Lytechinus pictus: one gene and its partner. The protein of the gene in region 1 interacts with the protein of each later gene in a biochemical or structural test. Links are inferred from orthologs where the notes say so. Each region holds a gene or a part of one and is shown on either strand. Other genes may lie near its edges. The genes, in order: lissencephaly-1 homolog and nuclear migration protein nudC-like.

The links.
Region 2: the proteins of lissencephaly-1 homolog (region 1) and nuclear migration protein nudC-like form a complex in vitro, tested with the Homo sapiens proteins (3 studies listed by BioGRID). The link is inferred for Lytechinus pictus from reciprocal best matches to the Homo sapiens genes PAFAH1B1 and NUDC.

Annotation. Positions count from the first base shown.
Region 1 is NC_087246.1:17,019,746-17,023,676, reverse strand, and holds the start of lissencephaly-1 homolog, read left to right. Parts: upstream 1-1,414; 5' UTR 1,415-1,559; exon of another isoform or gene 1,560-2,062; intron 2,063-3,931. Other genes in the region: RNA N6-adenosine-methyltransferase mettl16-like, read right to left, coding at 1,266-1,273. UniProt on the Homo sapiens protein: Regulatory subunit (beta subunit) of the cytosolic type I platelet-activating factor (PAF) acetylhydrolase (PAF-AH (I)), an enzyme that catalyzes the hydrolyze of the acetyl group at the sn-2 position of PAF and its analogs and participates in PAF inactivation.
Region 2 is NC_087248.1:5,421,766-5,425,696, forward strand, and holds the start of nuclear migration protein nudC-like, read right to left. Parts: upstream 2,633-3,931; 5' UTR 2,142-2,632; coding exon 2,067-2,141; intron 1-2,066. UniProt on the Homo sapiens protein: Plays a role in neurogenesis and neuronal migration. Necessary for correct formation of mitotic spindles and chromosome separation during mitosis. Necessary for cytokinesis and cell proliferation.

The DNA of each region.
Region 1 (3,931 bases):
TTTTTTTTTTTTTTTTTTCTCCTCATACACAGACGGCTCGCTAGCGTGCAGCCACCATTAGGGGACTTGCAATGCAAAATCCCCCCGTCGGGGCTCTTCAATTTTTGTCTTTAATGAGTAAAAATTTTGAAAATTCACGCGACCAAAATGCAAATTAATATTCCCTCTTGGCATCAATTGCCAAAAAACTGAGAAAAATCAAGTTAAAAGGAACAAAAACAGTGACTTACCTCGGCTGTCGCGCAAATTCACTTCCCCGTTTTATCCGATCTTAAGTACATAAACATATGGCCATTGAGTCCCCTGTACAGATCGCGCTAGAACTTCGGTCTCTGTATTTGGTTAGTGAAGCCCGGGGGGGCCACTTACATTGACGAGTGGATACCATGCGCGACCAAAAAAACACGTAAAAAGGATGTCTTTTTCACGATAGGGCACGTTACGTACGTAACGTGATAAGGGTGTCAAAAACGCAATAATAATGAAAAAAGGGTATCTATTTCGCTAGGACAATTACGTGTTTAGGGTCGAATTTGCGGGGATGATAAAACAAAATTAAAATGTTTTATAAAGGATGTCCTTTTGGCCCCAACACTTCGTGTTTAGAGTCCGATTTGCGCGAGGTGTAGAAGGTGGGGTCGTACTAAACCAAATGAGGTAAAGCTGACGACCGAAGGACCCGTAACAATAAAACATTCCTGTACTTGTTTAGGGGTTCATTTCAGGGAATATTTGCCATGATCTCGTTTTGTTTCCAATACTTGTTAAGGGTAGGGTTTCACACGCCAATACTTGTTAAGGGGTGCATTTTCAGATTATGGAAATTACGTGTTTAGGGTGCTTTTTGAGACCCCATGGTCGCGCATGGTATCCACTCGTGAATGGAAGTGGCCCCCCTGGGTAGTGAAGCCAACGGAGTTCAGCTGAACAACCAACATAACAGAGACCGAAGCTTTTTAGTGAAGCCAACGGAGTTCAGCTGAACAACCAACATAACAGAGACCGAAGCTTTTGGTCTAAGGCCATAGCGGGTGCACATGCATATCTTATCAATACCGCGGCCGCGCCGCCGTGCCCGTGGCTGGCTAAAAATCGGCATTCATGTCCAAGGTAAATAAACGTCCTCAAATTTAGCAGTAATAACCGGTCACTTCAAAATACAAGAACACGCAAATTATCGGTAATATACACGTTTAGACGATACCTGATAGTGCTTTGAATAATGAGACAGCTTAAGTAATACTGAAAAATAATGGTATTAATACAATATCATTCTATAGATCAATAAAAATGCAATAAGAAACAGCCCAAATTACTGTTGATTTCCGAGTAGTTGCTGCTGCAGACGACGAAGAGACTTAGAAACTGCGCACAAGTTTTCTGCGCATGATATTGCAGACAAGTATCGAAAGGGATTCTGGGTAATTTTTCAACGTGTAGCAAATATATGTGAGTCGGAAATACAGCAACAATATGCGTTGCGAGAAAAATACTTCGAACCAACGGACGAATACCGGTTTATATACTTGATGTTTGGTTGTTAAGTTCTTTATTTTTCGGTGAGCGTTCTATTTTCATTGGAAATCTATAGAATTCGATTCTACATCTAAATAGTTCGCAATTTGGTTGTGTGCTAGGATATGTGTGAAGGAGAAGGTGTAACGTTAGTGCTGGGCAAATGTGCATTCCCATTCCGTAGGCGTTGACATTTGTTGTGCATATTCTGGCCAATGCATGCAGTGCAGTGCATGAGCTGAGTTGAGTGAGAGTGACGTGAGTGAGTGCAGAGACAGAGTTAGAAGGGAGCGCAACATTGCAAGCCAGGCCCAGTAGCAGTGCAGTCATGGAAGTGGTAGCTTCTGCAGTTCTTTACAACTACTGTAAAACTAAAAGTGGAAATTTTTGCGGCAAGATGAAGATCGGCGAGCACGAATTTATGAGCATCTAATCTATTTTAATGCAAGTTTTGAACCGCGGTTCAATTGTGTGTATCGTTTTGGCAAAGAGATTGCACAATTTGATTTTGACCTAGGCCCTATAACTTGTTAGATCTTGTATAGAGGGCGACATTTAAGCAAGTAAGCTTGAGCTCCAAAATCGATCACAAATAAAAAGACATGCACGCCATTGCGAGAATTTGTTCCAAAGCATTGAGATAATTTTTTCAATAGTCGCAGATCAGTATTTAAATTATGATTTTGGAATTTGGTTGAAATATAAATTGCTTTTGCTGTGCGAGATTGGTGAGTGTTAAGATCTGTTTAGTTTTTAAGAAGACGTTGGGTCGATCACCCAGGTTTGTTGATTGAACCCATGCACTTTGAATAGCCGTAATCCCCCTGGTCCTTTATATTATAGGTGCTCGGCCGTCCATACCAGGCCAGCAGTGCCTCCGTTTTGCCTTCCCCGAGTCCACCCTGCAAAGAAATGTTGCGCTAAATGTCACAAAAGCTCATGATTGGATCAAAACAATGCTGAATTACGCCGCTTTAGAGCTAGAATTATGATCAGAATATACAATTTCGTCGCTGAAATGTTAATTAAAACCATTTACAGATGGGGAAGAAGGAAGTGACTTTGGATTATGGAGAGTGCAGCGCAAATTCAAGAACTTGCGAATATTTTTTGAAGCCGCCAAGCGTGAAAAATTAATTCGCGAAAATAAGAGCGTTTACAGTACAGAAGGGTTAAGGTCCAATGACTAAATGGGCCAGGCCTGCTAGCTAGATCTAGTCTAGTCTTGAGGACTCCATGATGATGTTTTTTTTAAATATTTTGACATATTCATCATGGAGTCTTGAATCCCCATCCATATAAGAGACACATGTACACAAAGATGGATTTCCCAAGGAAATCCATAGTTAGAGGGTGAAATCGGTTTGTATTGTCCAATTTTATTTATGAACCTTCAGGCGCCTAATGCGTATAAAGGGATAAAAATTATTTCACTATAAATGGTAAAAATGAGATGTTTCTTACCAGACCCGATCTCCCGTGGATCCCTCGATCCGTTTGTCAACAAAGCAAAGACAATAGACTTGACCCTTGAACCGCTTCGTGATGACGTACTTCCGACTAGCGATGCCGTCTTGAAGAACAATTTATAGATAAAAATTATTATTTCACAAATACTAAAATTTAATACGTGATTATAAATAATAAGTAGCATCTAGGGAAAGTGATTTCTGTGTAAAAAAATTGCCTTTTCCTTTTCAGAAAATCTTAAAATCCGTTTCAGCATGTTTGAAAAATGGAAATTCCGTTGGAGTAGCAATGTCACAGTACTCGGGCTGGTCAGAATTTGTATCCGCCACTAACAACGCTTTGGAATCCACTCTAATCTGATCTATACAAACACAAAACAATTTTAAGAAACACATTTAATATGAATACATCCTAACCTTTCACATTATTAGCATTATTTAAGGGTTGAATGAAATTTTATTGATAATGTGGGGATTTTTGGACATCGTTTTGAGCAGTCGACGACTATTGCCTATCTGCCATTTTGTATTTGAGGAGTACCACGTTCGTGCTGTTACATCACCGAACTAGAGGGTAGCAACACGAACGTGTGTTGCTGCCTACTACGTACGTTGGTTATAATCAAACAATGTTTGGTCGCTTATTTCAGCTTGGGCTTGCGTTTGACCCGCTTGTACAATGTATTTTTGATGTATGATCAAGTGATGGAGTCAAGTGCAGTCACGATGTGTGGATTGTCATGATTGTAGCGAAGTGAGATCGTGTTTTGTGGCCAGTTAGTATTTGTATTTTGTTGAGATTTTGGAGTAATTTCTGTTGCTGTTCTATGCATTTTGAGTAAAGATATGTTTTCTGTGATTTTCAATTTGAAAAGCCACTTTCCGTTTCAAAAGGCAATTTTCAAAAAATCACTGTCCCTTGTAGCATGATCACAGATTTAAGTACA
Region 2 (3,931 bases), on another chromosome or scaffold:
AGTTGAATATTTGCCGTTTTTACACTTTTTTTTTACAAAGTTTTACACCTATTTCGGAATCACTCGGTCGCTTGAAGCTCAGCGCTGCACATAAGCAGTCGGTACGCGTACAGTACGTACCACCTAGTGAAGTGCAAGAAGAGTGAGTTTTTCTATGGTATCTTCAAAAAGATTTTTTTCCCCTCTTTCAGCTTGCATCAAGTATTACGGTAGTGGTTGTGCAGAGTGGTTGATGTTTGTTGTATGAAGGTGTGTGTGGGGTGTGCGTGTGTGTGCTTGTTTGAATGAAATAAGAAATGTGAAAAATGTGAATACACGTAGATTTAGCGATGAAATAAGAAATAATAATGTAGAGCCTTGTTTTGATGGTACGGCGTGTGAAAAATTGAAAAATGTAATCTACTAGCATGAAATCAACATAGCATACAATCAACATAGCATACAATTGTAAACTGAAGGAAAGTTCTCTGACCTAGAGTTCAAAACAAGGCTCTACATTATTATTTCTTATTTCATCGCTAAATCTATGTGTATTAATTTCTCGCTCTTCTTGCACTTCACTAGATGGTACGTACTGTACGCGTACCGACTGCTTATGTGCAGCGCTGAGCTTGATGAAGCGACCGAGTGATTCCGAAATAGGTGTAAAACTTTGTAAAAAAGTGTCAAAACGGCAAATATTCAACTTCTACTGGACTTTGGAGGCTCAGATGCAAGTATTTTAGGTTGTGAATTATTTAGGGTGAGATTGTACATGTTTGAAAACCATTAAACGGGGAGGTGCGAAACTACACTAGCGCCGAGACTGTCTCCAATGTGGGAGATTATCTCCAATATCAGAGACTTTTGTAAAGAATTTGGGTATCCAATTTCAGAGAGTCTCCAGTTTTGGAGACCAATTTCCTTTGTTTACATTTGCTGCAAAAGGATTACCTTGGCGGCAAATAAAAATGTGATAAGGAGATTCCTCATAAAAAATTACCCCTTTTCACCGTCTACTTTAAAAATTCACCGTCTACTTTTGTTTTGATAAGGATTTTTGTTGTCAATCACACACAAAACAAATGGGCTTCTGACCTCAGTGAGACAAAATTTTGGGTGGGAAAAATCATGCTTTTGTTGGTGTTGTTTCTTTTGTCCTTTTGCAAAGCAAGTCTCCAATGTGGGAGATTGTCTCCCCTATTGGTAAGAGTCTCCCATATTGGCCGTGCGCCTCTACTGACAGTATGATGGGGTGTCCAAACTTCGCGCACTTTTCAAAAATATTCATCAGGCTTAATTTTGTTCACAAAATATTCATAATTTATACAAAACCAATTCAAGAAATAGTTACCACATTGACGGCAAGATCGTAATCTATAAAATCATGGACGAAAATGTAAAGTAGGTCAAGGGGTTTCGCCGGTATCGCGATCTCAAAATTCTATTCCGATCGGTGAATGCGGGCTGTGCTGGAAACCGTTCAGAAAAAATGTGACTTAACTTCGCGCACCAAAGTTTTTGTGGAGATTCAAACAAAAACTCAAGCTCAAAAAGTGAAATATTTTTATATCAGATTGATGGCAAAATGCTATGGAATTGGTTAGTACCACATTCAACTCACATTTTTGATGATTTCTGCTTGCAAAATGGTGATATCGTGATGCTTGTTGATTTCTTCAAAACGGGCGCAAGCGGTGGCAAATTTGCCGATCTTTTGCCAATATTTTCATGAATACTGAACTCATCCTAAAGAAATTTTTATTAAAGGGTAATTTTAGGTCGCTTTTCACGTTGACGATGTCAGATTTTAAGGATATTGGCTAGTTTTTGAGATAATGACCGTCCGCGAAGTATGGACACGCGCGAAGTTTGGACTCACTGCCATAAATGGTTTCAATCGAATAAGAAACACGATAGCGGTTGTGTGGGACCGAGATAAACTAAAAGAAGCGAAGAAACGCAAAAATGAACGCGTGGGACCGGACCAAGATGAACTGATACTTGCGGACTTGCATAGCAAATTAAATGCAGTATAATCACACAAATCAAAACTTATCATGAATGAAATTATGCCAGTTACGTACCTGATGAATTCCTTGTTCTTGTTGCTGGGCCATTGCCATCAGCATACCGTCAAATCTATCGTCATCCTCAGCCATTTTTCCACATGTGGTTCACCAAAATGAATGAATAAATTTCGGTACTGGTAGTCTTCGTTTTCTAGCATATATATGGGTAATATATGCAATATATGCAGGGCGGAGTCAGAAAATTCTAGAAACATGAGCAAACTACTGGGCCTTGATGGTGGTGGTGGTGGTGGTGGAGGGGGAGGAGGGGGCCGGGCTGACATGGGTGGGTGGCTAGGGGCTTTAATGTTTCAAATATGAATTGTCTTGATTTCCAATGACTTTTTGAATGATTTAGACTCTATTTTTTTTTTTAATTGTTAAAATCTATTCATTTATTTATTTATCTATCTATCTATCTGTCTATCTATTTGTTTATTTATCCATCTATTTCTGAAGGAAGGAGAAGGGTTAGATGCCGGGGTTAGATGGGGGTAAGGAAGTAAATAGATCGATCGAGAGCTATATAGAGCGGAAGGAAGAAGGCACATGCACACACCGAAGTATGCCATGGGAAGTATGATCCTCACTCGCGCCCTTTTTTATGGGGGGCCGGGGGGGGGGGGGTAGTTCATACCCCATGTTTCAAGGAAAATGTGTGAGTTGCTGAATGACGGCCTCTATTCATTTCTATTCTTCTGATAGGTCCATGATTATACTAATGATGGTGATGATCATTGAATGATGATGACGACAATATGATGATGATGATGGTGATGATGGTGATCATGATGATCATGATGATGACGACGACGACGACCGCGATGATGATCATATGGTGAGGATGATTATTCTATTCTATTCAATTACAATTTTTTTTAGTCTACGATATATCCTTTCCTCCAGTAACATAATATTGCAAACATTGACATTAAAGCTAAATGAACGTAGTTGCAGTAGTAAAACACTAATTTCGTGAGAAAGTCTGTAAAACCAAAGTTAAGTATGACTATATCATCGTGGATCTAGATCTGGTACAGTTACATAAACTGAACTTTGTGAAATCATGAAATCTAAGCTGAAATACGATCACACTGAAGATCGCCAACACAGATAGGCACATGTGGGACAGTGTATTATTATTGCTGGAATAAAGACCCGACGGAAGTGACCGAATCCGCGCTTATTTTGCTTATTTCTCAGCAATTACACAATTTCTCCCAGAATCCTTTGGCACATATTTTTTATTCATATACAAACAGACACTTGGGTGGTCATTATATTAGATTCTGTAAAAAGTCATTTTGAGATCGTTATTACCAGAACTGGAATTTACCTTTAAATTAAACATTATAGAAAATTGAACTTGTAGACAAGACAAATAAGAGGGGATAATTATACATGAATAAAGAAGAAGGGAGGATGATTCCGATGAACGGTATATCCATAAGAAAGAAAAAAAAACATTCATCCAAACATTTCGGCCTTGTTATAACTAGATATTAATTTACATTATTTATGTCAACTACATTGTTCAAATGTGTTGTTCTCTAAACTATCAATATATAGGCCCTATAGCCTATCGTATATTCGATCATATTCTTTGACTGAGTTGGGAACTCACTGAATCATTAACCGAAGCTATATTCGTTTTGAACAACGTTCGATTTTTTTTAATCGCGCGATCCGGCGCGCGATGCAACAGGTGAAGCTCAAACTTTGGTCTCACAGGATAATTCAACACAAAAAGCTTCAATTTTCACACATATTTACAGAAAATACAGAGGCATTTTTTTTTTGGGGGGGGGGTGGAATTGTGTTTTGTTTACAAAAAAAAATATCGAGAGTAAAAATAATGAAATACTGTAAGCATTGGGCCT